Ovis aries: one gene and its partners. The protein of the gene in region 1 binds, or shares a complex with, the protein of each later gene. Links are inferred from orthologs where the notes say so. Each region holds a gene or a part of one and is shown in the gene's direction. Other genes may lie near its edges. The genes, in order: E3 SUMO-protein ligase RanBP2, NUP85, NUP160, NUP98, XPO1, NUP214 and NUP107.

Region 1 (3,845 bases):
GATAGTGGGGAATGTATTAATATTAGCAGGCTGGGTTGTCAGAGTTGAGATGTGGAAAAAACAGCATTTAGTGTTCACCTTCTCCAGGGTGGGAGGGAGGGAAAAGTTTTTGTTCCCCTGCGTAGGAGTGGGGAGCCTTTTCACCCATTAAGCCTGGTGTTGCTTGAGAGAGGGTGGGGTGGGGTGGGGCCAGTGAGCTGCTCCTGGGGCCACCAGTGCCACCTGGGCAAGAAGTTGAAGCTCTCATTCCATTTACCTTAGAAGAGAGCTAAGGTGGAGAAGTTACCAACTTGTAATCAGTCTGCTTTCAAAGTAGCAGATTTGGCCTCTTGGAGAACATTCTTAGGCTCTAAAGTTACTTTTTTCATGTAATAGAATGTTTTATGAAATAAACTACCCTTGGAGCTGTGTTGTGTTTTCAGGTTTCAAAGGATGCACTTTGAATGAAGAACCTGCTTTATTACTAAAAGTTCAGTGTCACTAAGACCTAAGGCTTATACAACCCTGTCTGTATACCCAGGCGTAAATGTTACTACATTCCTTTGTGCTCACCACTTGAGCTTAACTTGCCAGGAGAATGCAGTTTTAAGCATTTTTATTAGAAGTATGTCACATCATTGGAAATTAGATTCATTCATAAAGTACTGTAACAGGGATTAAAAGCTTATTAAAATAGATATCACTGTTTAAATATCCTAATTTATTCATCAGATAAAAATTTCCAGTGGGCAAATACTGGAGCAGCAGTGTTTGGAGCACAGTCAACTGGTAAAGTTGGCGAAGATGAAGATGGTAGTGATGAAGAGGTAGTTCATAATGAAGATATCCATTTTGAACCAATAGTGTCACTACCAGAGGTAAATATTAAAGTGTAAAAACCTTATACTAACTTCACATTTTAAGTTTAAAACTTGACATGGGCTTGATTTGTAGGGCTGACCTTGTTTGCATTTCTTTCAGAACATTGACCATTACAAATGGAAGCTCTTTATTACAAGTTCAATCTTAAAATGTAAATCATCCTTGTAAAAAAATTTACATACAAATGTTATTTGGAAAATTCTGTGTGAAATTGTTGGGAAGAACTTAATTTTTTCCTGTTTGTTTTCAATAACATAATTGAAGGAGCAAAATATTAAAAACCCATCTAAGCTGATATTTGCCACAGTCCTTTCAATAAAAAGTATATTGTACTTTCTCTAGACAGGAATGTTATTTTAGGCAAATTACTTTCATCAGTTTGAACCTTAGTCAGCAGATAGTATTTTTCTTGAAGAACAAGATTTTTTTTTTTTTAACCTCTTCTCTCCTGTAAAAGATTGTATTTGATTTCCAAAAAGAGGAAGGATGTTAATAAGTACAAAGAAAACATTTAATGACAAATCTTTCCTGCCTCATCCGAATCTGCCGTATAGTAACCCTAGGATGTTAACTCTTTTCAAATTCTGTTCATGTCAGTGTGTTAAGGAATTTGGATCTTTGGAATTTGTTATGAGTATTTTATAAGCAGCAGCTTATAGGTAATTTCATCTCCTGTCACAGGTAGAAGTAAAATCTGGAGAAGAAGATGAAGAAATTTTATTTAAAGAGAGAGCCAAACTTTACAGGTGGGATCGAGAGGCCAGTCAGTGGAAAGAGCGTGGCGTTGGAGACATGAAGATCCTCTGGCACACGGTGAAGAATTACTTTCGGATTCTGATGAGGAGAGACCAGGTGTTCAAAGTGTGTGCGAACCATGTCATCACCAAGACGATGGAACTGAAACCCTTGAATGTTTCCAACAATGCTTTAGTTTGGACTGCCTCAGATTATGCTGGTGAGCTCTGCACTCAATGCTACTTTCCAGTTTTTTACTTTTCTAAATTGACAACAAATATATAAAACAATTTTTTTTAAGTTATTTTAACACTAAGGCCATTGTGTTGTTTAACAGATGGAGAAGCCAAAGTGGAACAGCTTGCAGTGAGATTTAAAACTAAAGAAATGGCTGATTGTTTCAAGAAAAAATTTGAAGAATGTCAACAGAATTTATTGAAACCCCAGAAATCACTGACATCAGAGTTCTCAAAGGAGACAAATCCTGTGGTGTTTTTTGACATTTGTGCAGATGATGAGCCCCTGGGACGCATAACCATGGAATTATTTTCAAACATTGTTCCTAAAACTGCTGAGAACTTCAGAGCACTGTGCACTGGAGAGAAGGGCTTTGGTTTCAAGAGCTCCATATTCCACAGAGTGATTCCAGATTTTGTTTGCCAAGTAAGTCTTAAGTGTGCATCACACCAGTGTGGGAAATCTGAGTGTTTCTCCTTACCTGTAATTGTAGACTATAGCTTTCCCACACCCCCAGCTTCTATCCCCACAAGAACTTGCAGCCTAAAAGCGTTCATATTTCTAATGCCTTGAACCTGATAGAAATTAAGGGTGGGAAAAGATCTTTTCATTTTTGTTTCCTTTCACAAATTTCTTAGTTTTTTCAAACTGCATTCTCAGAGAAGCTGGGTATTTAGGACCACCCCTTCAGTGGTTAGTTCTGTATGTGTTTTAATGTTTTATTTGTGATTCCTGTTAATTGAAATCTTTTTTTCAGGGGGGAGATATCACAAAACATGATGGAACAGGAGGACGGTCCATTTATGGAGATAAATTTGAAGATGAAAATTTTAATGTGAAACATACAGTTCCTGGTTTACTATCAATGGCCAATCGAGGCCAGGACACCAATAATTCTCAGTTTTTCATAACACTGAAAAAAGCAGACTGTTTGGACTTTAAGCATGTAGTATTTGGGTTTGTTAAAGATGGTATGGATACTGTGAAAAAGATTGAGTCATTTGGTTCTCCTAAAGGGTCTGTTAGTCGAAGAATTATTATCACAGAATGTGGACAGATATAAAATCATTGTTTTCCATAGTAAATTTTACCTGTATAAAAGTTGAATTGAGGCCTAGCTGTTTTGACAACATGGTAATTAATTATGTTCAGCTTTTGAAAATGGACTCCAATGTACAAATGTAAAATTGCAGCTTATAGCTGTTGTCACTTTCTAATGTGTTATAATTGACCTTGCATGGTGTGAAATAAAAGTTTAAACACTGGTGTATTTTCAGGTGTACTTGTGTTTATGTACTCCTGACATATTTGTATTAAAATGGAATACTAATCTTGTTAAAAGCAATAGACCTTCTCAAACTATTGAAAGAATATGATATATGCAATTTAATTTTAGTTCCTTTTAAGATATTAGACTTCCTGCATGGATATACTTACTGTTTGAATAAAGGGACCATGACTTGGATAATTTTTATTTCAGATTTGGACTATATTTGGTAATTTTAACTATTGGTGTGTTCAGTTATGAACAGATTCACTTGTAAATGGGTAGAGCCACAGAGGGCAGAGACTTAACCAAAGTGCTCTTCTATAAATTCTTGCACCTCCTGTATAGTTAAATTCTCTTTTAAGCAGAGTACCTTCTTTCCTTAAAATACGTAGCTTCCTGCGCCCTTTCAAAGGTATTAAATTAATTTTTACATTTTAAGTTGAGTAATTATTGTTTAAAAAACCTTTCTGTCATCTGTTTCTACTACCTCAAACTGCATTGGTTCTGATAGAACTTGAATTTTTCCTTGCAGTTATTGTGATAAAGTATGAGTATTTTAAACAGGTCTATACCATGTTCTTTGGTTAAAGATTTGCTTTATACTAGATTGTTGCAGTACCTTTTTCTGGTGAATTTTGTAGCAAAAATAAAGTGACAATTGTTAACAGCCATGATATTTAAAAAATTCATTACTTGTGCATCTTAATTGTTTGTTCATTCTGGAACCAAAGTAAGAATAATT
Region 2 (4,008 bases), on another chromosome or scaffold:
AGTGATAGGATTCGCTAATGAATTGGATGTGTAAGAAAGAGAAGAATGTGGGTTGGTGGGTTGGAAGCGACCCGGTGTTCATTTCGAGGCATGTTAAGGTGCCTGTGAACCAAGTGGAGCCATTGGCAACAGGATGTGCGTGTTTGGAATCAGGGAAAGGGACTGGGACTGGGCAGCATGTGTTTCCTTGGCTTGCTTCTTCTTCCTTTTCTTTTGCCGTGGCTAGCAGGATCTTAGTTCCCCAACCAGGAATTGAACCCAGGCCATAAAATAGCATGCAAAAACCTGAACCAAATTTGGCTAACCCAGTATTTGAACTAGAACTTTTTCTTTTAACTGAAACTTTTACAGATCAGTGCTTTATTTGATGCACTTTGGTAATTTTTATTTTCTGTTTCATTTTTAAAAAGTCAGTCACCTGCAGTGCGATACAACAACACGCAGTTTGAAAAGCATGGTACGGGTTGAAACTAGAAGGTTGGATGAATTAAATTACCTCTGACGGAGAAACCATCACACTTCTCCAGGATGAGGAAGCCAAAGCAGGCTGAGGGGACTGGCTGCTGAGCCTCCGCCTGGATGCTGTGTTCTTGGTGTCCTCCCAGGTGACCACCTTGGTGCTACAGGGCCGGCTGGACGAGGCCCGACAGATGCTCTCCAAGGAAGCCGACACCAACCCCACCTCTGCAGGCATGTGCCGAGTCCTGGGGGACCTGATGAGGACCATGCCCGTTCTCAGCGTATGTGGAGCCGCCTGGGTCGCAGAGAGAGGTTTATACAGGGAGCGTGAGGGGCTGCCGTGGTGACCGCCCCTGTCTGCGTCTCTCCCACAGCCTGGGAACACGCAGACCCTGACGGAGCTGGAGCTGAGGTGGCAGCACTGGCACGAGGAATGCGAGCGGCACCTCCAGGACGGCACGTTCGCCTCCAACCCCCACCTCGAGTCCCTCTGCAAGGTCTGCTGGGAGCGGGTCCTGGCCAGGGGCCAAGCCAGCTCCTCCTGGAGTCCTGGCATCCAGCTCAGCAGCAGCTCCTCCTCAGACGGGGCTCTGTGTGGGCCCTGTTGGGAAGGAGTGAGCTTTTAACTCAGCTGCTCCAGCTGAGATGAGCCTTACAGGGAAGTGTCCCCAGAGTTAAGGGACAGCGTCTCTTCTCAGGTCCTGCTGGGAGATGATGCCGCCCTGCTGGAGCAGAAGGAGCTTCTGAGTAACTGGTATCACTTCCTGGTGACCCGGCTGCTGTACTCTCAGCCTACGGTCAAGCCCATGGATCTGCACCTCTACGCTCAGGTGCGTCAGCTCCTCCAGGAGGGGAGGGGAGTCGGCGTCCGGGGCTCCACTCCCTGCCAGTCACTTTCACCGTGTGGCCTTGTTGACTTGACCCTCCCTGGGGAACAGAGGGGGCTTTCCTTGGGCCCAGTTTGAAGGACCCCATTGCCCTTCTCCCGGGTCCCCTACACAGCAGCCCTGCCTGCCCCCTTGAGTCTCTGCCACCATCCAGGGACTGAATGGGTCACCACCTTTCCACAGTCCAGCCTTGACCTGTTTCTGGGAGGTGAGAGCAGCCCAGAGCCCCTGGACAACATCTTGATGGCAGCGTTCGAGTTTGACATCCACCAAGTGATCAAGGAGTGCAGGTAGGACCCGCTGCACCACCACCATGCTGGGCGCCTCAGGGCTGCAGTGCAGCGGCTGGTGCATTCACCATGTCACACGCCCATCACCGCCGTCCTTTTCCAGAGCGTCCTGCTCCTTCCTGTTGGTGTCTTAGGCTTCTTCCCACAGACCCGCACCCCCCGCCACATTAGGTAGACAGTGTCTTCTCTGGACAAGCCTGGGGGCCTTCCTGAGGCTTGCAGGCTCCTGTATCTTTAACAGTTTACACTTTAGGGATGTTTACTTAAAGTAATATTGCAAGAAATTACTATGGTATTTAAAATCCAGAAATAGCCAGCCAGCTTGTTTCTTGGAACCTGATGGACATGCAGCTACCTTACAGGACAGCACTTCTCTGGTGAGCCAGGAGCTACCACGCCACCACACGGGGCTGGGTCTGTTCAGAGCAGAGACTCTACACCAGCCCTCTCCCCAGATCTCTCCCCAGACCTTCAGCAAGGCAGGAAAGGGAGCGTGAAACAATGAATCCAAAGCAAAGCTTTCCAGAATCCCCACATGTAGTCGGTCAGAGAGAACTTCCCCTCCCTCTTCGTGCAGAGGGAGAAGGCTGGGAACCACTGGGGCAGGTGGCCCTGCTCAGGCATTGAATTCACTGACCTCCACACTGGATCTTTTCTTTGTTAGTGAATCTGGGCAGTGGGAAGGTCTCCCCGATTCCACCCCCCACCCCCACCCCACCCATGCTACCTGCTCTTCTGTTTGGCTAAAAGAAAGCCAAGGCCCACCATTCAGAAAATGGTGTTAGACTTGGAGAAAGGAAGGTTTGTGTCCATATTCTTTTCACAAACCTCTAAAATAGGGACTGGTTGGAACTGGAAGATAACTTAACAGAATTCAGCTGATTTTGGCAAGGGGTTGTATCTGCAGTGAAGGATCAGTGGGGATGGCTCCCAGAGGCACAGACACTAGTCTTTAGCTTTGTCAGTATCTCTGTCTCTAATTCAAAGCAATAGGCATTCCAGAATGTGTTGTCTGTTACAGGCAGTGGGTTATTTCTTCGAGGGCTTCCTTCATAAGCCACATCTGGGATTTTAGGATCAAGACAGATTTGAGCTAAAGAGGAAGGAAGGACAATAAAAAAGGTAAAGCACCTTGCTGTTTTCAGTGGTTGTAGAAGGAAAAGGTAAAGAAGTGTAACAAAGAGGCGTGGTGCTAATGAACGCCGCTGAAAAATGCATCACCCCTGCCAGTCTTGAAGGAGGAATGATCAGACTTGCAGCCCCTCAGTCTGGGTGTCCGTCTACCCTGGCAGGCAGGAAAAAAATCGAGGTATTTCCACTAGCTCGGAATCTAGGAGCTCGGGTTTTCCTGATCAGTAAGCTTCTTCCTGCCGTACTCTGAAAAGCAGGTCCCAGACCTCTGCCCATTAATTGAAAGAAGGGCTGAAGTATCCTCAGAGAGAGAGTGCCCTCTTGGACGAGGAAGGGTGGGATCTGGGGTCTCCTGAGCACTAGCTTTCTCATGGGTTGTTGTGGTTAGGCCCCAGCTCGCTTCCCAGGGGACAGTAGCGCCTCTGTCTCGCTGGGGCGCTGGTGGTGTAGGGGAGCCTTGAGCTGCAGGTCTGGTGTCAGCTGTTCACTCCTCTTAGGGAGAATGAGGGAACCCTTCCTCAGCTAGAAGGAAGCTTTCTATAGGGGTACTTGATGCTGCCATGTCAACCATGCCAGGCTGTGGGGCAGACAGGGCTCCAGAGGCAGAGCAGAGAGACCCTGAAAGTGTAGTCACTCAGTCATCTCCAGCTCTTTGTGATCCTATTGACTGCATGTAGCCTCCAGGCTCCTCAGTCCATGGGATTTTCCAGGCAAGAATGCTGGAGTGGGTTGCCATTTCCTTCTCCAGGGGATCTTCCTGACGCAGGGATTGAACTCACGCCGCCCGCATGGTGGGCAGGCTCTTTTACCATCTGAGCCATGAGGGAATCCCAGGGAGGCCCTGGGAGATCACAGTTTACCAGCTTCTGCTGAAGGGCCACCACGTGTTTGCCTGGCATATCCACAGCTGGAGGAAAAATTGGATTTCTTCTCTTGTGGGTTGCAGCTGCCAATTCTTGCCATCCAGCAAAAGGAAAAGGGGACCTGGCATGTACTTCACAGAACGACAGCAGCCCCAGGGCAGGGCAGACAGCCCATTTAGTCAGTCATTCAGTGTAAACCAATCCCTACTCTTTTTATATCCTGAGAGCAGGATTTTTTACCCTAGCAACATTGAAGGTGCTTTTCCCTCTCCCAAGATTTAAAAAATACTCAAGCATTATATACAGATACAGAAAGGCCTATGCCAAGTAACAAATTAAAAATGTAACTCAAAATGATGTGTTCACACTGCAGTGAGT
Region 3 (4,008 bases), on another chromosome or scaffold:
AAGAGAGATAAAAATGTCTGACACTTGCAGGCTATTTCCTCCGTTTGGAGACCGCTGGCCTTCATGCCTGTTACCCTCTCAACATGTTGGTGACTCAGCTGTGGGAGTAGCTAGAAAAACAGAGATAGATGGATTCGAGATACACTTAGAGGGTAGCTTCATTAGGACCAGGTGATAGACTGACAATGGGATAAAGGATGGTAAGGGAAAAGGAGGGAGCAAGGACAAGTTCCCGTCTTTTGGTGTGACTGACCAGATATCCTGCAGAAGGATTGCCGTCTTCTGAGATGTAGAAGATGGGTTTTGGACGGGTGTTAAGTAGTTCTTTTAGCCGTGCTATTAAAGTGTCTGTGTAGTTGCATTTTGACAGTGTCAAGTAGGCATTGAAATTTATAGGTTCAGAAGAAAGACCTGTGTTAGAGGTGCAAATCTCATTGATTTCAGAAATATTTTTGAGTGCCTAATATGTTCCGACACCAGTGCTAAAGAATCTCCCTGCCAGTACAGAGGATACAAGAGATGTGAGTTCGATCCCTAGGTCAGGAAAATCCCCTAGAGGAGGGCATGGCAACCCACTGCAGTATTCTTGCCTGGAGAATCCCAGGGACAGAGGATCCTGGCAAGCTCTGTAGGGCTTTGGGTTGCAAAGAGTCAGACTGAAGTGACTTTGCAGACACACAATGTGTTCCAGTGAATGTTTAGGGACTGGGAACATAGCAGGGAATAAAGCAGACAGTCCTTGCTCTCAGCAGAAGCTGATCAATAACAGTAACCCCAAAAAACAGTAGTTCATCAGGTGATATGTGGAATGGAGAACAGGGAAGGGAGAAGGGGAATTATTATGTTTAATATTTCACATAGGGTAGTTGGGCAAGACCCAGTGATAAGTTAACATTTGAGCAGAGGAAATAAGGGTACCCAGGGGGTGAGATTTCAGGTAGAGTCTTTGAAGAAAAAGGGCAAAAATCCCGAGACAGGAGCTTGTGTGTTGTTTTCAAAGAATGGGAAAGGGCCAGAAGTCTGCCTCTTGAGAGAATGAAGGATGGAGGAATAAGGTAGCCAAGGGGCAGATTAGGGCTTTGTCAGTTATTTCAAGGCTGTGACTTTTACTTTAAGTGAGAGGAGGGTTTTAAGTGAAGAAGTATTATGAATAACAGTGTTTTTAAAAGGTGCTTGTCTGCTGTGTTGAGAACAGAGTGTAGTAGGAAGGGATGGGAGCAGGGAGGCCAATTAGAGGTTGGTGCCACAATCCACACAAACGATGGTGGCGGCTTACAATGAGTTTGGTATTGTTAGAGGCTGTGAGAAATCTTCTAATAGTGGATATGCTTTAAAACTATTTTGTTAGAATTTAGTGTTGGATCAGATGTAGGGTATATAGAAAGGAAAAATTCAAGGGTGAACCCCATGTTTTTGGCATGAGCAACTGGAAGTTACAGAGACGCCATCCATGAGTTGGGAAAGAAGTGGAGGTGAAGCAGATGTTTTCCTGGTTTGCTGGGTCCAGGAATTCTGTTTCGGACAGGTGTAGTTTGAGATCCCTGATGTACAAGTGCAAGTTTGAGGCAGTAGTTAGGAGGTGAGTGGAGAGTGTGGGCTGAAGAAGATACAGATTTAGAAATCATCGTCAGTCAAAGCTGTTAAACCAAAGGTGATCGCCCATAGCAGTGGTCCGCAAGCTTCTTGGCACCAAGGACCAGTTTCACAGAAGACAATTTTCCCACAGATCTGGGGTGGGGGGACTGGTTTCAGGACGATTCAGGCACATTACATCTGCGGTGACCTTGGTTATTGTGACATCAGCTCCACCTCAGATCATGAAGCGTTAGATCCTGTAGGTGGAAACCCGCTGACAGAGAGGAGAATCGGGTAGTGCAGTAGATGAGATCTGGTTAGGACACGGCCAGCATGGTGCTGTCTGTGGTTCTGAAGCTACCGCATAGCAGAGGTATACGTGAGCAGGAGTCTCTTCCTGCTTCCTAGCAGGAGGAAGCTTTAGAAGGGACTTATAAGATCACTGTAGTTTGATGGCTATAGTGATTATATGTAGAGGCCATGTTACACTATAAGTTGTGAGTGTGTGGTGTGAATTTTAATCCTAGTGGAGTTTAATTGAATTGACTATTGTTCTAAAGGTTTCCCAGGTGGTGCTAGTGGTAAAGAACCCGTCTGCCAATGGGGGAGATAAGATAGACCTGTGTTCAGTCCCTGGGTCGGGAAGATTCCCCCTGGAGCAGGGCATGGCAACCCACTCCAGTATTCTTGCCTGGAGAATCCCGTGGACAGAGGAGCCTGGAGGGCTGCAGTCCATAGGGTTACAAAGAGTCAGAACTAACTAAAGCGACTTAACACTTTGTTCTAAACATACTATCAAGTTTGGAAATGTCTCCATTTAACAGAGAATCATATAATAATAGTTGAATTGTATATAATGCTGTGTTTTGTAGACTATACAATGTGGTTTGGAATGTCAGAATTGATTTGAGTTTGCTTATCCAAAATTTTTGAATTAGAGTTCACCTGAAAACTATTGTCATACATTTCCATGCAACAATCAGAAAGAAAAGTGTAAACTCTTTTTTTTGTTGTTTTTTACAAATGTCTCTTTTTAATAGGAAAACCTCTGGAGATACATTGGAGCTGGTGGAAGAGTCACTGGACATAAATCTGTTGAATAATGCAGTTCGCCTCAAATTCCAAAACTGCGTCCTTCTACCCGGAGGAGTTCATGTCTCTGAGACTCAGAATCATGTGATGATCTTGATATTGACCAATCAGACCGTGCATAGATTGCTTTTACCACACCCTTCCCGGATGTATAGGAGTGTAAGTTGGTTAAGTATAATGTCCTTTATTTCTCAGATTACTTGGTCGCAAATTTAGTATTAGAGCAGTGTCCTTTGGAACTGAAGAAAGGATGGATTCCTGGCTAGCCCTAACCAAGCACACTTCCGTGCTGGCATTGTTGTTTAGTCGCTAAGTCATGATCGGCTCATTTGCGACCCTATGGAATATAGCCCGCCAGGCTCCTCTGTCCGTGGAATTGCCCAGGCTCTTCTGTCCATGGAATTACTGGAGCGGGTTGCCACTTCCACCTCCAGGGGATCTTCTCCACCCAGGGAACGACCCCACATCTCCTGAATTGCAGGCAGATTCTTTACCGAGGAACTGCTGGGGAAGCCTCATACTTTCCTAGTTACTATTTAAAATGATCAAATACATTCTAAGTTGCAAAAATAGTTTTATTAAAAAGAACAGCTTCTTTTTTCAACTCAACAATTTTTTACTTTAAAAACATTGATAGCAATTGGGAGGAACTGAGCAAAATTCATTTATTTTGTTTTTAACAGATTTTTCTTTTTCATTTCTCCACAGGAGTTGGCAATCGAAAGTCAGATGCAGTCAATATTCACTGACATTGGAAAAGTTGATTTTAGGGATCCTTGCAACTATCAGTTGATCCCGTCAGTGCCTGGCCTCTCCCCTGGTTCTGCCGCCTCAGCAGCCTGGCTGAGCAATGATGGGGAGGCTCTGTTTGCTCTGCCATCTGCCTCTGGGGGGATCTTTGTTCTTAAACTACCTCCTTATGACGTACCTGGTAAGAACGGGAATGCAACATGGATTTAATTTCAAACAGATACTGGCATTAAGACAGATGTTAGAAGTCCAGGGCCGTTATCCAGTGCAGGAACTGCTTCCAAACCATCCTAAATTCATTATTACTTTCCTAATGAGTCCCTAACACTTCACAGTTTTTCCCAAGAGGGTGGGATTTTATACGGTGAATGAGGAACTGCAGCTTACTGGAATATAGGAAAACAGGTGGCTATAAGGTGGCCTATTCTAAGGCCTTTAGTAGAGATGAGTTGCCTGATGTCTGTTTTCAGTTTGAGGTGCTGTGACTAAAATAAGTTTAACTGAAACAAGGAAGCTCAGTGCTGCTACCATGCTCCAAGTTACCACCTTCTCTTACCTGAACTATCGCGTTTGCTTCCTAATTATCTTTCC
Region 4 (4,795 bases), on another chromosome or scaffold:
TACTGAACAACTACAATGTACTAGGTTTCTCCCACCCATTATCTTATCTTCACAACCACTCCACTTTTTAAGTATCTCTAATCCCACCACTGAAAACCCATAATTTAGCTTTATCCATGTTTTGGGTAGAGCTCATTTCAATCTTGTATTAATGTCCCAGGAGGAGGGGGCGGTGCAGTGGTAATCCTAATAGGTTCTGCTTTCTGAGCACAGTATCTGCTATTTTGTGTGGAACCCTTAGTCACTTGGGGCTTCCCTTGTGGCTCAGCTGGTAGAGTCCGCCTGCAATGCGGGAGACCTGGGTTTGATCCCTGGGTTGGAAAGATCCCCTGGAGAGGGGAAAGGCTACCCACTCCAATATTCTGGCCTGGATAATTCTATAGACTGTATAGTCCATGCGGTCGCAAAGAGTCAGACTGAGCGACTTTCACTTTCACTTTCCACTTAGTCACTAGATCTAGTTTCCAGAACATGTTCAACTCACCCCTTTGAGATAATCTGTCTCCTGCTCTGGACTAGACCCTGGGGGGAAAGGAAAAGTGAACTCGCTCAGTTGTGTCCGACTCTTTGTGACCCCGTGGACTGTAGCCCGCCCGGATCCTCTGTCCACGGGGATTCTCCAGGCAAAAATACTGGGATGGGTTGCCATTTCCTTCTCCAGGGGATCTTCCCAACCCAGGGATCAAACCCGAGCCTCCTGTATGGCGGGCAGATGCTTTATCCTCTGAGCCACCAGGGAACACAAGAGGAAGGAACACCAATTTGAAAATAAAGCTTTAACTTCCAAGAGCCCCGCCCTGAAGATAAGACAGTAAGTAACAGAATACAAAGAAACAAAGCTGTAACAGAGGCTTGCCCAAGCATCACCCCAACTCGCTGGGACAGACTGATCCACAAAGGTATCCCAGAGGAGGCGGGATCATTTCAATTAGAACTTTAGGGGTTCCTAAAGTGCAGGTGGGAAAAAAGTCCCAATAATTGTTATTTGTACCAAACTTTAAGCTGAGCCATTCCCTTAGGGCATCACTAACACTCCCAATGCCTATGCTATGGATTCAGAGAGGGAGAGGTTATGTTGGGCTGGCATGGGTCAGGAGGCAAGAAGGCCAGGTTTGGGGGCCTTGGAGCAGCTGCAGGCGAGCTACTTAGATAGACCTAGGCGGGCCCTCCAGCTCCGCACGTGGTCTGGGCAGGAAATGAGGGCCGGACGACAGGAGCACTTTCCCATGACCACCCGCGGACTGAGGCAAAGGAAGGGTAGAACAGTTACCATGCCATTCTGGAGCTTCACTCTGATTGGCCCGAGTCTCAGCAGTCTGGGTGTCTCCGCTCCAGAGAAGGGGCGGAGCCTCGGCATAGCGTCATCACCCTTATCCCACCCCCCTCCCGATGTAGCCACTCACCAGCCCACTTCGAGGGGCCCTGTGTGACGTCACTACTCCCTCCCAGCCAACCGCGGCGACGAGGGGCGGCACTCCATGTCCCTCCTTACCGCCCCTCCCCTTTCCTCCCCCTAATTCCTTCGGTCCCGCCTCTTCCCCCCTCTCCTAGTCTCCCAAAGACAGCCCTCACGTTCGGTTTCAAAAGACCCGTGGTCCAATGACTAACAGGGCGGCTGTAGAGTGGCGGCGGCGTCTGCCAATGCGCAGACTGCGAGGGCGGAGCGCTCGCAGCGAGCCTCTGACGGCGGGCGGCGTGTGACGCAGTCGGGCCCTCTACGCGCAGCGCCCGGAGCGGCGGTCGGTATCGGTGGTGGCGGCGGCGGCGACGGTTTCGTGGCGGCCGCGCGCTGCTCTCTGAGCGGCGGGTGGTGGTCCGGCCTAGGCCTTCACTCCTGACACTTCTCCCCCGCCCCCAGCACCGCGGTAAGTCGGGAGCCAGGGTGGTGGAGGCCGGAGACCGGCAGGCTCCTCCTCCACTTTGGGAGGGCGGGTGCGCGGGGCGTCCCAGGCCCTCTCCGCGCCGAGTCTCGCGCCCTAGCGCGCACCTTCTGTCCTGAGGGAGGGGGCGGGTCTCGGGCCCCGAGGCCTGACCCTTCAGGCTTTGAGGAGGGATCGCTCTCTGTGGGTTCTGGGCCCGGGGGTCTCGCGTTGAAGCCTCCCTTGAGTGAGCGTTTCTCTAGCAGGTTGTACTCATTCATTTGCCCGTCAGTGATTAGGTGGGCAGGCCCTTTGCGGGGGCAGCGCCTTGAGAACCTGAGGGACGGTTTCCTCAGCACTTCCCTGATCATCTGCGGGATTGGGCTTTGTTTGCTTTGGCTTCTCCAAGGGGAAATTTGCAACCCCTGGGGAGGGTGAGTGGGTCTGGAGTTTGTGAGCTTATTAAAACTGTATCTGAGAATTAAGGTCATTTAATGGAGTGAAACCTTACTTTTTGTTCTCCCACGTGTCCCACATAAAGCTAGACGAGAAACAGGGTGAGGTTTCTGGATTACTTACTTTAGCCTTAAGGACCTTGGAAATTAAGTCAATTCCCCTACCCCATGTCACGTGCAAGTTTCATAGGTGGAGAAGCTGAGGCCCAGAGGAAAAACAGTACTAGAAAGTGCCAGAAATTTTTCTACTATACTGCCCTCCCTGGGCGTTCTAGCCCCCCATTACTGAGGATTCCCTTTAGAAAAGTGGAGGGGTCAAGATGGTGACATTGAGTAGTTGGAAGCAGAAACCTAGTTTTCAATATCGTTTCCGATTTGGTTGCTACCCGCCCAGTTCACCGTAAGGCAAACGCTTCCTTAGTGGAACGCTAGCCTAGACCATGAGAACTAAACTCAAAAGTTGAAGAACATCAGGGGTATCATGTATTGGGAATGAACTGATAAGGCTACATATTAGTGGCTAGTTTCCTGATGTAGGTCTGAAATTTTTATTTGTGTCGGCTACTGAGGATTCAGAAGAAAGGGTCCAGTTAGTGAGCTACAGTAGAGTTGAAATAGAAAACAGGAAATAAAGACAAGACTTAGAAAGATACACTAGCAGTCATTTGGCACTTCTTGTATCTTGGGACTCAACTCCTCTCTTACCGAATTCGAAAACATAGAATAAGGTGAGAAAATTAAACTATTTTGGGAGAAGAAGCTAGGGAAGAAAGAAGAGAGCAGTGATCATTCCCTGTGATAGTCTTATAAATTCAGAAAGAAAGAAACACTTGTTAGATGGCGTGTTTGGAACTTGTTGAAGTTTGGATATATAGAAAACAAACCAGAAGTTGGACAAGAAGGAGGTCCTGGGAAGTACTTTTGATAAATTTATTTTTTGACTCATCACTTTCCTCTTGTTTTGATGATGAAGCAAAAATTGAGAAATGTAGTGTATAAGAGCAGAAGCTGTAGTCTTATAATACTAAGAGGTGAACAGGGTGTGTTTTCTGTGCCATTTTCTCTTCTGGGAAGCCTCCCCCGGCATTCTTTCCCCTGCAGCCTTCTATAACACTTATTTGATACTTCAGTTTATGACACCAGTCATTTTGTATTTCAGCTGTGTCTTTTTATTAGACTGGTAAAAAGTTTTTTGTCTTGTATTCAGTTTGCTTTTCACATAGTAGGCCCTCAGTAAGTATGCTTGTCTGGATGGATAAACAAATTGGAGGAGTTAAGCCTAAAAGTAGTCTATAAAGAGGCTAGGTATTTGTGCACTCCTGAAATATCAGGCCCAGATAAGAGGACCCATACCATTTGTGTGTTATGTTGTACTTTGATACCTGACTGTTCATGTCCATTTGCTCCTAGACAGCTAATAACAAGCACAACTTTTAGGGAACCAGATTCATAGCTTGGAAATGTTACTTCCTTTGATACTTTTATAGTAGCAAGTAACCTTAGGAGGTAAGGGGTAGTAATACTGATGTTAAATTTCCAGTAAATAAAGATCACATCTGTAATTATGCAATCTTTTCAAAGCTTAAGGGAATAAGAAATTTAGTGATTTAACAATAAGTATTAGAGACAAAGTATATAAACAATGTTTCTTGAGAATTTGGCACATTCTGTGTGTTTAGAATTGAACCTAAGTATTTTTCATTTATGTATTGTATTTTACCCATTAGATACTCATAACACCCTCTCTCCAAGATTTAACATTCAAGAATGTCTTCAAACATTTTCAAATGTTACTTGAGAGGCAAAACTGCCCCTCAGTGAGATTGGTGCTCTACAGAGAACGTTCCCAATATTTCAATAAAAAATCTTACGTTTATCATACTTTGTCTATGTTTGTGGAGTCAGCTAATAAGTTGCATTTGGTTGAGATATCCTTGAAAACCCTTAAATTGTCAAAATCTGGGATGGGGAGCTAAAAAGAGTACTAGAGTTGCTTTCTTTATTTTCTCCTTCCATGTCTGTCACAGCCTCCCTTTCTCTGGGATAGGAGAAATTAGAGTCCTGTTTGAAAGGGGATAGGTCATTGGATAAATAGAGCAATATTTATTTCATTTTTTTGTGGAAAAAGGCAAAAGAGCTTGTACTTGAATTGATACAATTAAATGCGATGCTATATCTGGTCCTAAGAGTGAAGCTGGGAGGCAGTAGGGTGAGTGGAAAGATGTGAAACTGAAGTCAGAGGATTAGAAGAGGGCTGGTCTTGGGACTCCTTTATATTTTTAAGAACCATTGCAGACTCCAAACAGCTTATGTTTATGTGGCTTAATATTTACTGTACTAGAAACAGACCAACTTTGAAAAGATTTATTGATTTAAAATTATTTTGCTTTAAATAACAACTTTATGAAAAGTTACTAAAAAATTTAGTGATAAAGGTGGCATTGTTTTGCATTTTTGCTAATCTTTTTAATGTCTGGCTTA
Region 5 (4,008 bases), about 16 Mb from region 1:
CATTAAAACATGAGTTAAAAATTGAAATTGCTGCCGTTAAGAACGTTTTTAAACTGTTGTAAAATACCTAAGAAATAAGCCTTTTTCCTAACAAGCTAGTTTGTTCAGATCCAGTGTAATCCGGTTAGCCACCCTATTTCCTGGTCTTGGAAGGTTAAAAAGAGGGGGAGAAGTAGAGACGACCATATGACCTTGTTGGGTCTAAGTATTGTAAACCAGGAGTGCTTAACCCAAGGTTTCATGTGTGGCTTTCGGAATATCCTGAATAGTCTGTCTGTAATTGTATATGAAGTTGTGAATTTTTTTTAAATTGGCAAGAGCCATCCTGTTCGTTTGATGTGAGGCATCTTGACCCAAAAAAGGTTGAGTACTGATTTAGCCAGACTTAAGCATCACTTGACTTTGAAGAAAAGTAAAGGGAAAGATTTTTTATAATGTTGGACAATAAAAATGTGTACATGTGCCAGCCCCTTGGAGTAGAATCCTCTTAAAAGGATACCACTGCATGTGAACCAGTAGATTTCAGCCAGTACATTATTTGATGTGAAGAAGCTCCTTTTTCTGTTATGGTAGAATTTGATTTTTTTTTGCAGGGTGTGTTGTCGGAATAGTTAGCAAGCTTTTTGCTTTGCTAACGAATACCTGGAAATTTTTCTAAAAAAATCTTTAGATATTACTATGAAGTTTTTTTTTTTCTAGACCATATATGTTCAAGGAGCTTGTACACTTGTAATTTAAACTCCCGCATTTATTCAAAGAAGAAACAATATAGATGGTTTCATTGTATGTAGAAGTAAATTCTATATAAGTTAAGAGTATGAGATTGGTTAGACTTGTAGTTCCTGCAAATCATTGCTATATATAGGAAAACTTTGATACCACATTTAGTTTTTAGTGTCTTAGATATGTTTTTAAAATTAAAGTAGCATGAAATAAGGGAAAGTGAACTTTTACTGAGCTGAAAGAACCTGCTTAGGAAGAGGGGGACATCCATATGAACTTTATCTCCATTTGAAAAGTTGAGATCAGGACTTTGAACTGTATCATGTTTTAGGGCCGTAAATCCTTTAATAATTTTTTAAAACGGGTTAAGATAACTTTATATGCATGTTAGTAGAAAGAACAGTAAGATTTTTCTCAGGTCTAAAAATAAAGTAGATCCTAATAATCAGTGTAGTTATGGAGTACCTAAGTAGCTTCAGGATTTGCTTTTACTATCTCAGTTGTTTAGGTAAAAATCTCCAAAATACAAAAGTAAAGTATTTGTAAGAACATGGTGAAAGGGAAATAACTAGAGTAAAAACTTTCTGACTGATAATGTCATAGGCGCCTTAAAATTTTTTTTCTTTATTTTCAGTAATCTATGCCAGCAATTATGACAATGTTAGCAGACCATGCAGCTCGTCAGCTGCTCGATTTCAGCCAAAAACTGGATATCAACCTTTTAGACAATGTGGTGAATTGCTTATACCATGGAGAAGGAGCCCAGGTAAAGTAGCTGACCAAAATATTATTGCAGCGTAATAGTTGCCGGGTTTAGAATAAAACTTGAAATTACCACCATTTAAAGGAGTGTTCCATAGTTTGTATTAAGTTGGAATTAATATATATTAACTCTGAGAGGTGGTCTGTAAAAATAAATCACATTATATTTTCAAACGGTTTAGAGTGAAACGTTTTGGAATATTCTTGTTCTGTCCTTCAGCAACCTTTATCCCATTTACTGAAAGATCCTAATGTATTAAATATTTTGTAGATATTAAAAGTTGTATGTCCCCTATATATTGGAATTAATAGAGTCTTCTATTTTGAAACATTTAAATTGTAGAAGTACTTCACAGATAAAACTTATTTTAGAAATCCAACAATACCAAGTGTCTGAATTTTAGCACATGTAAAAGTGCTACTGTTAAAGTAGGAGATTGTCTTAACATACAATGTTTTGATAAGTTTAAGGCATTGAGGTTTTTTTTTCCTAAACAGAAGTGTTTGTAAATTTCAACTTTTATATGTTACAAGAAACAACAATCTTGAGTCTTCACCTTGTGGACTTAATAATGTAAAGTTCTAAATGAGTAAAAGTTTTTGCTTTGGGCTTAAAAAGATCTTTTAAAGTGATGTCACAGATATCTTACTAGTACAATTTTGTTGCCAGAAAGTACATTTCTGGGAGATAGTGTATCTTTAAGATACTGAGTTATATTGAATATTTGCCTAATTAAACCCTGGCTACTTTCATAATTTTTAGAAACCTCTAAAAGGTGGACATAGAAGATAGTCTAAAAAACATGGTACATAAATATTAGCAAGTATATAAGTATTTCTGTTCCCTTCTGAAATCTAACATTGAGGACCATGTAAGTTGTATGAGTGCAAAAAATAACTCTTCAGTGATTTTGTAAGCTTGTTAGTGCAGTTTTACACTCCTAGGGACTTTTGATCAAAAGCATTCTGAAAAGTATCTGTATTTACTACACTTACCATGTAGTAGTTGTTTCCTGATGATTATATGTTCAACATGAAGTTTTAAGCTCCATTTCATCCCAACATGATGTATGCAAAACAGCTGCTTTGGGAAGAAAGTATGAAAGTAAGATTGAAATGCATGAAGTGAGGGGTATGTGGCTCAGTGGTAGAGAATCTGCCTGCCAATGCAGGAAACAGGTTCCATCCCAGGGTCAGAAAGATCCCCTGGAGAAGGAAATGGCAACCCACTCCAGTATTCTTGCTCTTGAAATCCCATGGACATGGGAGCCTGGCAGGGCTACAGTCTATGGGGTCACATGTTTAGTGACTGAACAACAACAACAAGGTTGGGTTCAACTTTGTATTAGAAGCACAAGTCTGTAAGCCACTAGGAAGATTGATGTTCAATTTTATCACATTATTAAGCTACCACTGCTGTCTAGTCTTTGTTCTTTTTTAACCTGGTTCACAGTGTCTAAAAGTATGATGACTAAAAAGACCAGGGCTCTACGCTTATAATTGGAATAGTGGTTATGAAGAGTAGGGTGTAATACTACTATTAGTAATGTTTCATAGTGTTGAGATATAGTGATTTTGTTTTAAATTTGATTTCTGAATAGAGAGTAGATTTAGAAAAGTTTTTACAAATATTTTCACATTTATAAAAGCAAAATTAACTTTCTCAAAAGTAAAAATTTTATGTTTAGTTAGATCTCTCATAGGACAAATCAGTTGTATAAAGATAATCAGTAAGTTGATACTTGTTATAGATTAGGAAACAGGCTTAGAGCCTAAAGGCGGCTAAGAACCCCTTTTCTGTTGGGGTATCTTTAAACTTCCTTGTTCAGTCGGTTTTTTATATACCGCCTCTTTGAGGGTTTTTATTTTGGATAAAAAGTTTGGAAAGCATTGTTTTAATGTTAGATGTCTTAATTTTATTCCAGTAAGGTTTCTGGTCATTCCTCTGGAGTCTCATCCACAAAGTGTTCCCTACCTTGGAGGAGACTGGAGGGTTAGTGATGAGGTTTTGTAAAGCACTTGTTACCAGTGACTGCTACTTTAAGGGTACTTTTGAAAGTATAGTAAAGAAGACATGTGATGTAAATGCACATGTATGTGATGTAAACTCATTGTTTTAATATATGGTTTGGTGGGGAGTGTTTGGTTTTGGTTTGTCATAAAATATGTACTTAAAATAGCAACTAGAAATTATGCTAATTAAGCTTTCAAACTCAACTTTATGTAGCCTAACTTTTTAGAAATGATAACATAACTTTGGAGAGAAATTATTAGAAGAATGTAGGTAGAACTTTTGCTTAGATGGGTAGTATAGTAAAATTTTAGCACTGTAATATTAGGACTACCTTCTGTTATAAACATTTTTAGCCAAGTAGGCCGCCAGGAGAAAAAAACATGATAGAGTTCGGTGTTTTCTTCAATACTGTGTTAAGTGTCTTGAACTCTTTTATCTATTGCTTAGCAACTAAAATACTTTGACCATTCAGTTAGTAGCACAGGGAGATGCCAGATTTTCCCTTTGGT
Region 6 (4,008 bases), about 57 Mb from region 1:
TGATCTGTAATCTGTCCCCTCTCCTCCCTTCCCCCAGGAAAATATCATGTTCATCTTTTCAGGTCTGGTATAAGTCTGCCTGTCTCATTTTAATCCCTTCGCTGTACAGTTGTACCCTGTTCAGTTTTTACCAATACTCTGCTGATAGTTCAGATTGTTCTTAACTTTTCAGAATTATAAGTAAGGCTGCACTAGACATCCTTGTCCGCATCACGTTGTATTATAGTAGTGTTTTAGATAGTTTTGCAAATCTTTACTCCATACTCATGTAAACAGAAGATGCTTTTTCTTATTGTTTGGGTTGGTTTGATTTGGGCTTCTCGAGTGTAATTCCCCCAGCCCTCTTCTCCTTTTAGAAGGAGAGGGAGAGGTGGGGGGGAGAGTGTGGGTACTGCCCCAGCCTGTTAGTGAGCAGCCACAGTACACCACATGTGGGGAGACGACGGGCTACACTTTAACTCTCCACTCTTCTCTGTGTGACAGCAGTCGTGTTACCTCTGTAATAAAAAATAAAGAAGCAGACCTGTTATTAACTAATAGTAATACAAGAAGTCTCTGGAAAAACAGATGCGGCGAGAAAGCCAGCAGCCGTGAAGTCACTACTCAGAGATGTTTCACATGACCTGTTTCCCCTTGGAGTTTCTTTTCCTTTGACATGTATCACATTTCATTAATTGCAGAATCTACTTTTAAAGCCTTAAATTTGACCTGCACTCCAGTTACTTTGATGTCTTTCCTGGAAAGGGTAAAGTGGCATGCCTTGGTTTGAAATTGACAGTTGACAGGGCCAGAGAGCCCATTCAGAGACCTTGAGCACGACCGAGTCCTCACTCTCCCCTTGACTGCTGACCTACAGGAAGCACGTGACCTGGGGCTGCGCTTTGCGTGGCACTAAGCATTCAGTGCCACAGAGAATTAAACTAAAATGGTGTTGGTTTTTTTGTAATGCTCTTCTTTTTTTCCCATAATTCCAGGACCAGTGGCAACCAAGATAGAAACAGCTGTGACTTCTACCCCGTCTACTGTTGGGCAGTTCAGCAAGCCTTTCTCATTTTCATCAGGGTCAGTTGTAAACTTAAGTTTTGTGGCAGATCACAAAATCCTTATAGATTGCTTCTCCAAATCTTATAGTCAGCGGGTATACTTATATGAAGCCAGAGTTCTTATCTCCACAGTGACACATTTAATGATAGTGGGAGTAGCTTAGTGTCCTAATGTAAATCTGTTTGCCCTTTTCGATTCAGTTTTATATGTGTGTTCTTACTGGCTTGTTTGTTTTGTTGTTTAGGATAAGCCTTGTTTGGGTAGTGGGTCTGTGGTTGCTCTAGTTTATCACACCGAGATCTTTTCATTCTGACACCATCTGGCGGCTGGGTGAGACCTTGGATTGGCTTCGCTGCCCCGAGAGGTCACATTATACTAGACTGCTGAGCAATCAAGACAGTGGCCATTTAAGAATTGGGGTTTTATATAGATGTGGGGAAGTCCATTTCTGTTTCATTTTTTTTAAAGTGATGATGTCTGTACTTGTCAAATTGAGTTATTTTTAAAAACAAAAGGGTCTTCTAACCCTCAGTCCAAAGGAAGTTCTTATTAACGTTGGAGGGGGCATACCTTTTCACTATCCTGCGAACACTCATCATGAAACCTGTGAGAGTTGGCAGAGCATCTCTCTTCTTTGGGGTGGAGTTAGTCTCTGTGTGGCTGAGATAAATACTCATCCAAAGATTGTTTTCACTGTGAAGGGTTGCACATTCAGTTCCACTAGAAAAGTCTCTTAAGCTCTTCCAGTTTATGCTTTTGTAACTGGAATCACACTGACCACAGTCTCTTTTCCCTGCTGTGAGTTTGTTTCTTGAACACCCTTCAGCCTAACACATTACGAGAAAGGAGGGTGTTAGAATAGAATTTTAAGGGGGAAATCATATATATTTTCCTGTAAATCATTAGTTTTCTACTCCCCAAAGGTAGTTTGGAGCACAGTTTTAGAGAGTAGGTCAGTTCCAGGAGCTACCGCATCTGTTAATTAATCTTTACTTCTGTGAACCTGATACTCTTCTTCCCGTCTTTAAAATAACCTACAGAGGTTTGGGTCATAGGTCAGCTGCTTACCTCTGTTACATCAAATTTCTTCACCAGAGTTGAGACAAAGAAAGAGATTTGTTTTCTTTTTTTTAAGATGATAAAATATTTAACACATCTTAGGTGGTCTTGGACCATTTGATGAAGCCAGTGACGAGTTTAAAAAAAAACCCAACTCTACTCTTTACTGTTACTTACTCTTTTTGATATGCTCGGCTTTTTATCAGGTTGCCCAAAAAGTTCGTTTGGGGTTTTCCATAACATCTTACAGAAATGCCTAAATGAACTTTTTGACCAATCCAACAGTTTTTAATTTGCTATTTGAACTTTTCTCAGAATGAGTACTCCATTCTGGCTCAGCTGGTGCTGAGTTTTCTTCTTTGCTTATATTGTCTTCACTCACAGGGTGAAGAAAATGTACAGAAAGAGAGGAGAGGATGAAAAGAATCAGATAGGTTTTTGAGGGACTTTTCCTGGTGGCCTAGTGGTTAGGGTACAGCTACAGCGCTTTCATTTCTGTGGGCTGTGTGCAGTGCCTGGTCAGAGAAGTGAGATCCCACAAGCCACTTGGTGCAACCAAAATTTTTTTTTTAAAGTTTCTGAACCAAATTTCCCAGCCGAGGACTAAGCGTTTTGTCCGAACAGCAAAGACAGTGGCTTCCATTTCATACTGTCTGTTGTCTCCCCCAGTGGCATGCGCTGTCCTGACGTGCTCCCTGGGTGGGTCATAGGCTCCTCCTCACCTAGCCCATCCCGTCCGCCTCACTAGGCGAGCCAACCGCTCCAGCCACCATCCCAAGGCACAGTCCTAGTGCTCCTTCACTTTCCTTGAAATAGGTCCCCACCCCCTCTACCATGGGAAGCCTGGCTGTTCCTCCAAGGCCTCCTCACTGGCTGCTTCCCTCTCACCTCACCCACACATCGCTCCCCCCCACGCTCTGAGAGCTCTGCGCTGCTGCTTCAGAGGCAATGCGCTTGCTGATGTTTATCGATAGATTGCAAGTCCCTGAGAGTAGATTATGTGAATGGATTATAAATGTACTGTTAAAGGGCAGTGTTGCGCCTTAAGTCTGTTCGTTTTTAACTTCTTTTCTTCCACCCCTAGGACTGGCTTTAATTTTGGGATAGTCACACCAACACCGTCTTCTAACTTCACTGCCACACAAGGTACAGTCTCTGCATTGAGTCGCCTCACTTTCGTGTTTCCCTCTAAACAAGTGCAGGTTTGAGGGAGGCAGGTTGGTTGACATTTTACTTGCTGCTGCATTTTGCTTAAAGTATCTGCAGTGAACTTGGTGTTGATATTATGCATTAGAAATAGGCTGGATTTAAGAAACTGTGGGGAATGACTTTTGTCTTCATAGTTAAAAACTCAGAAAGGGTTTGCTTTTAGAAAGGCAAGGCTGTGCTTTAAATGTGAATGTTTACACGCAAATTAAAATTTCTTTCTCCATCTTTGTCATATGGTATTTAAAATTATATCAATTTTTAATAATCATAATATGTAGTGAAACTATATGTAACTTTGTTCTGTATTTTCCCAGTTTCCTGTAGAGTGTTATCATACTTTCATAATTTAAAAAAATTTTTTTTGTTTGTTTTGTTTTAAAAAAATTTTTTAAATGAAGTCAAAATTGTATCAATTTGTAGGTTGAGATAGGCAATGGTAAAGAATCCACCTGCCAAGGCAGGAAACGCAAGAGATGCTGGTTCAATCCTTGGGTTGGGAAGATCCCTTGGAGGAGGAAATGGCAACCCACTCCAGTATTCTTGCCTGGGAAATTCCATTGACAGAGCCTGGTGGGCTGCAGTCCACGGAGTCCGACAGGCCTGAGTGATTGAACACACACGCAGTACTGTAGAAAGGAAAGACTAAACTCGTGTTTCTTTCCTTGATAACCTATCGGGAGACACACTTGTCCCGCG
Region 7 (4,008 bases), about 89 Mb from region 1:
CTTGAGAGGAAAAGAAGGAATGACATTTTCAATGAAATTCTGTTTTGGAATGAAATAACTTATACTGTATATTGTGTAAAATATCTTTTAATTTTGGTATTTTCTTTTATAATTTCTTTCATATTTTAAAGAATTGTTATCCCAGATTTACTAAATCATTGTGATTATTTAAAGAATATTAGTGTGAATGAGTAATTTCTTGTTTCTGTCCCTTCAAAAAATGTTTTAGATTTGGATATTGCAGCTATAACAAAAACTGTAGTTGAGAATATTCGAAAGAAAGATGATGGTGAATTCAGTCATCATGACCTGTCCCCAGCCTTGGATACGGGTACTACCGAGGTAATATGAGGGTACAAGAGGTGTATTATGTGACTGAATAATCCCTCGTGTTATGCTTTTTCTAAATGTCTACTTTAAAATACTCTGGCTTCTTTATTTTTTAAAGAGTTTTTCTTTGTCAGCCAAGTTATAAAAATTGTCAGCAAACTTAAGTCTTGTGTAAGGAATTGCTTAGTAGTAGTTTTATGTTAAAGGAAGCTTCTTTAATAGTAAAAACCTGAGCATTGAATTTTTACTCATCTGATTATTCTAGATACTTGATCAGTTAACTAATTTTTATGTAGTTTAATTGTTCCTTATTTTCAGAAAAGAATAGAAAGTTTTATCTAGGAAAGAAAAGGTTGTAGAATAGCACTTAAAGGAATCAGATAATTAAATTGGTGGCACATCAGATATAGAGCTATTAAATGTGAAAATAAACCAAGAAAAGCTATTTTCTTTCATAATTTTGTGTAACCTGAAGGAAAATAATCATTAGTAGTACAGATGTAAGCCAGTTCTATTAATGTGTAGAATATCTTAGGGAAAAAGCACAATTGACATTTCTTTTTTTCCAATTAAATGAATAGGAAGACCGATTAAAAATTGATGTAATTGACTGGTTGGTATTCGACCCAGCACAGAGAGCAGAAGCACTAAAACAAGGCAATGCGATAATGAGGAAATTCTTGGGTATGCTCTATTTTATATTATTTTTACAAAGTTTTTTTTTTTCTGTTCTTAAATTTTGTTGTTTTTCTAACCCTTCCAGTAGGGTAAGGTACAAAATACCCACTTTTATGGCTGATATTGTGAAACAAAACATATTTAATAGTGACTTACTATGTCCCACTCAATTTTATATATAATCTCAAGGTTTTGAAAAATGGAATTTTTTTTTAAGACATAGTATGTGAAAGTAGCTGTGGGATTTCCTGGTGATCCAGTGTTTAAGACTCCGTGTTCCATTGCAGTGGATTTGGATTCAGTCCCTGGTTGGGGAAGTAAGATTTGGCATGCTATGCAGGGCAGCCAAAAATTGAAATATATAATGAAAACAAAAGTAACTACATTTAATTAATCCTTCATGTGACTGTCACACTGAAATAAGGAAAAGCCCAGCCATTAGGTAGAAAGATCCCCCAAACCTTTAAAAGAAGTACCTTGGGCCCTGAATGGTTACAGGCCACGGTGAAAGTTGTAGACTAATAATTTGACTCCTTTAGAAGCCACTACACAGAAATCCACGTATATTGAAAAACTATATGTCTTTTTCCCAGCCTCAAAAAAGCACGAAGCTGCAAAAGAAGTATTTGTGAAAATTCCTCAGGATTCAATAGCAGAAATCTATAACCAGTGGGAGGAACAAGGAATGGATAGCCCACTTCCTGCTGAAGATGATAACGCTATCCGAGAACATTTGTGCATCAGAGCTTACTTGGTGAGATTGTAGAGAAAACCACGAAGTGCCTGTCTTTATGATGACTTTCAAACCTGATTCACTCTCAAACCTTAAACTACTTTTTTGAAAAGTGGTGATTGACTTACTATCTTACCTCCCTTGTGACTGTGGGAATCACTGATCCCTAAAAACTTGGAAGTCCTGACCTTGTCTTCATGTGCAGGAGCCTCTAATCATTGTTAACCAACACACCATGTGTTTTCTTAAGATTCTTTGAATTCTTAACTTTAGCATTTCTGCTTTTGGCAACAACTGAAAAAAGCAAGATAATCTATATTATGACTAAAATAACAACATACTCATTCAGAATTCATTCAACAAATAATAAAGTGATTAGCTAGGTTTTAGGACTGAGTCTGAATTTCTTTGCTTCCCTCTGGAAGCTAATAGGTTCATCAAGGACACAGATAAGCACGTGAATATCACAAACAAAATACTTATTCACTGTAATTTTTTTGTATAAAAAAGAAATATTGAACAATTTTATTTCTTACTACTGCAAAATTCTAAGAACCAAATTTTTAAAAATTGTATTGAACATATGTGAAAAGTTTTCATTTTTTGTATTTTTCTATTTTACTTTACATTTTAGGAAGCCCATGAAACCTTTAATGAGTGGTTTAAGCATATGAATTCAGCTCCACAAAAACCTACTTTGACAACTCAAGCAACTTTTACTGAGAAAGTGGCTCATGAACACAAAGAAAAGAAATATGAGGTAAGTTAAATGTAGATGAGACATGTCTCATTGCATCTCAGAAATACAAGTCATATATGTAAGATCATTTCTTCAACAGTTATATTCCCATTATAAGAGTTGATCTTCCTTATTACTGTTATACTTTGAAGAAAGAAATCTGTTTAGTTACCTTTTTGTAGATAATTAACCAAACATGAAACGTACCTTCAAGTGACAATAATGTTCATTTACATGGTAAACATTTTAGTGTTTTATTGAACTGCAGTCTGTTGATGTTTATTTTGTATTTGGCTTACTGAATGTCAGTTCTTTAGAATGATGTTCCATATATGTACATCTCTGTACTTTGCAAATATATTATAGTCCACTATATATCTGCCTTATATCTGTTTTCCAGATGGATTATGGTATTTGGAAAGGGCATTTGGATGCCCTAACTGCTGATGTGAAGGAAAAAATGTACAATGTCTTGTTGTTTGTTGATGGAGGGTGGATGGTGGATGTTAGAGAGGTAAGCTCTGTGCATTGTTACAAGCTACATCTTTTTTTTTTAAGTTTTTTCTCTGAATAGGAGCAGTTACAGATCTTGTATTACCTTTGTACTATATTATAACTGAACATCCCATAATTTAAGTCTAACCTGGAATACTAGTTAGGGAATATATGAATGTCTGACTCCTGGGTAAACTATTTCTCCACATTTAATATGTTCAGTCAGTATAGTATAGTAAAATCTAATTTTTAAAAATTCTGGACCAAAAATCAATTATTCATGTATTCAACTCAGTCTGTAGAGGTGAAGATAAGTCTAGTAGAGTGAGTAAGACATACATAAAGCAGGGACTCTCACCTCTGAACTGCCCATTTAAATGACCTGGAGAACTTTTTAAAAAATACTGGGTTGATTCCCCTAGTGGCTAGCAGTGGGGAGAGGGAAGGAGGAGCAACATAGGGGTTGTGGGGTGGGAGGTACAAATCACTGGGTGTAAAGTAGGCTATGAGGACATATTGTACAACATGGGGAGTAAAGCCAGTATTTTGTAATAGCTAAATGGATTATAACCTTTAAAGGTTGTATTAAAACAAAACAAAAAAACCTTTTAATGAGTCCCCAAAAGATATGACAATTAAATACAATATGTGATTCTAAACTGGATCCTGTGTTGGAGAAAAAAAGATGCTATAAAGGACAGTGTTGAGTCATTGATGTTGGTATTATATCACTGTTAAATTTTCTGAAGTCATTAACTGCAGTGTGACTATATTAGGAAAAAAAATCCCTTTGTTAGGAAATAAACTCTGAAACATTCAGAGGTAATGGAACATGATTATGCAACTTGCCCTCAAAGGGTTTAAAAAAAAAAAAGTTTAAATTACCTGGAAAGCGTTAATGTGTAGCCTGGGTTGAGAGTCAGTTACAGAAGTACTAAATGCCAAAAAAAAAAAAAAAGCACAGATGCAGTATTTTCTGACTTCAGAGAAAGCAAAGGCTGCTTCTACCCAGAAGAGATCTGGACAGAATGCT

What was found.
Region 2: E3 SUMO-protein ligase RanBP2 (region 1) and NUP85 share a complex: the UniProt entries of both Homo sapiens proteins name them as parts of the nuclear pore complex. The link is inferred for Ovis aries from reciprocal best matches to the Homo sapiens genes RANBP2 and NUP85.
Region 3: E3 SUMO-protein ligase RanBP2 (region 1) and NUP160 share a complex: the UniProt entries of both Homo sapiens proteins name them as parts of the nuclear pore complex. The link is inferred for Ovis aries from reciprocal best matches to the Homo sapiens genes RANBP2 and NUP160.
Region 4: E3 SUMO-protein ligase RanBP2 (region 1) and NUP98 share a complex: the UniProt entries of both Homo sapiens proteins name them as parts of the nuclear pore complex. The link is inferred for Ovis aries from reciprocal best matches to the Homo sapiens genes RANBP2 and NUP98.
Region 5: the proteins of E3 SUMO-protein ligase RanBP2 (region 1) and XPO1 are in contact, whole or in part, in a cryo-EM structure (PDB 9B62), measured with the Homo sapiens proteins. The link is inferred for Ovis aries from reciprocal best matches to the Homo sapiens genes RANBP2 and XPO1. Residues at the interface, in NP_006258.3 of Homo sapiens: Val2508, Val2509, Ser2510, Pro2511, Pro2512, Lys2513, Phe2514, Val2515, Phe2516, Gly2841, Phe2842, Gly2843, Ser2845, Thr2846, Gly2847, Leu2848, Ser2849, Phe2850, Ala2851, Leu2853, Ala2854, Asn2857, Ser2858, Gly2859, Asp2860, Phe2861, Ala2862, Phe2863, Gly2864, Ser2865; in NP_003391.1 of Homo sapiens: Trp60, Val63, Asp64, Leu83, Asn97, Gln98, Gly101, Ile102, Lys104, Tyr105, Val107, Gly108, Ile110, Ile111, Leu134, Phe149, Asp152, Ile153, Gly155, Ala156, Ser157, Arg158, Thr159, Ser160, Glu161, Leu163, Cys164, Asn167, Leu208, Phe211.
Region 6: E3 SUMO-protein ligase RanBP2 (region 1) and NUP214 share a complex: the UniProt entries of both Homo sapiens proteins name them as parts of the nuclear pore complex. The link is inferred for Ovis aries from reciprocal best matches to the Homo sapiens genes RANBP2 and NUP214.
Region 7: E3 SUMO-protein ligase RanBP2 (region 1) and NUP107 share a complex: the UniProt entries of both Homo sapiens proteins name them as parts of the nuclear pore complex. The link is inferred for Ovis aries from reciprocal best matches to the Homo sapiens genes RANBP2 and NUP107.

Annotation. Positions count from the first base shown.
Region 1 is NC_056056.1:62,092,467-62,096,311, forward strand, and holds the end of E3 SUMO-protein ligase RanBP2, read left to right. Parts: intron 1-711; coding exon 712-857; intron 858-1,542; coding exon 1,543-1,816; intron 1,817-1,933; coding exon 1,934-2,259; intron 2,260-2,590; coding exon 2,591-2,896; 3' UTR 2,897-3,103; downstream 3,104-3,845. UniProt on the Homo sapiens protein: E3 SUMO-protein ligase which facilitates SUMO1 and SUMO2 conjugation by UBE2I. Involved in transport factor (Ran-GTP, karyopherin)-mediated protein import via the F-G repeat-containing domain which acts as a docking site for substrates.
Region 2 is NC_056064.1:55,591,066-55,595,073, reverse strand, and holds part of NUP85 (nuclear pore complex protein Nup85), read left to right. Parts: intron 1-605; coding exon 606-740; intron 741-833; coding exon 834-956; intron 957-1,157; coding exon 1,158-1,289; intron 1,290-1,529; coding exon 1,530-1,636; intron 1,637-4,008. UniProt on the Homo sapiens protein: Essential component of the nuclear pore complex (NPC) that seems to be required for NPC assembly and maintenance. As part of the NPC Nup107-160 subcomplex plays a role in RNA export and in tethering NUP96/Nup98 and NUP153 to the nucleus.
Region 3 is NC_056068.1:76,487,646-76,491,653, reverse strand, and holds part of NUP160 (nuclear pore complex protein Nup160), read left to right. Parts: intron 1-2,615; coding exon 2,616-2,826; intron 2,827-3,375; coding exon 3,376-3,598; intron 3,599-4,008. UniProt on the Homo sapiens protein: Functions as a component of the nuclear pore complex (NPC). Involved in poly(A)+ RNA transport.
Region 4 is NC_056068.1:50,026,919-50,031,713, forward strand, and holds the start of NUP98 (nuclear pore complex protein Nup98-Nup96), read left to right. Parts: upstream 1-1,702; 5' UTR 1,703-1,865; intron 1,866-4,795. UniProt on the Homo sapiens protein: Plays a role in the nuclear pore complex (NPC) assembly and/or maintenance. NUP98 and NUP96 are involved in the bidirectional transport across the NPC. May anchor NUP153 and TPR to the NPC.
Region 5 is NC_056056.1:46,578,066-46,582,073, forward strand, and holds part of XPO1 (exportin-1), read left to right. Parts: intron 1-1,357; 5' UTR 1,358-1,363; coding exon 1,364-1,489; intron 1,490-4,008. UniProt on the Homo sapiens protein: Mediates the nuclear export of cellular proteins (cargos) bearing a leucine-rich nuclear export signal (NES) and of RNAs.
Region 6 is NC_056056.1:5,537,160-5,541,167, reverse strand, and holds part of NUP214 (nuclear pore complex protein Nup214), read left to right. Parts: intron 1-974; coding exon 975-1,062; intron 1,063-3,187; coding exon 3,188-3,249; intron 3,250-4,008. UniProt on the Homo sapiens protein: Part of the nuclear pore complex. Has a critical role in nucleocytoplasmic transport.
Region 7 is NC_056056.1:151,262,059-151,266,066, reverse strand, and holds part of NUP107 (nuclear pore complex protein Nup107), read left to right. Parts: intron 1-229; coding exon 230-342; intron 343-911; coding exon 912-1,014; intron 1,015-1,601; coding exon 1,602-1,762; intron 1,763-2,375; coding exon 2,376-2,501; intron 2,502-2,880; coding exon 2,881-2,994; intron 2,995-4,008. UniProt on the Homo sapiens protein: Plays a role in the nuclear pore complex (NPC) assembly and/or maintenance. Required for the assembly of peripheral proteins into the NPC. May anchor NUP62 to the NPC. Involved in nephrogenesis.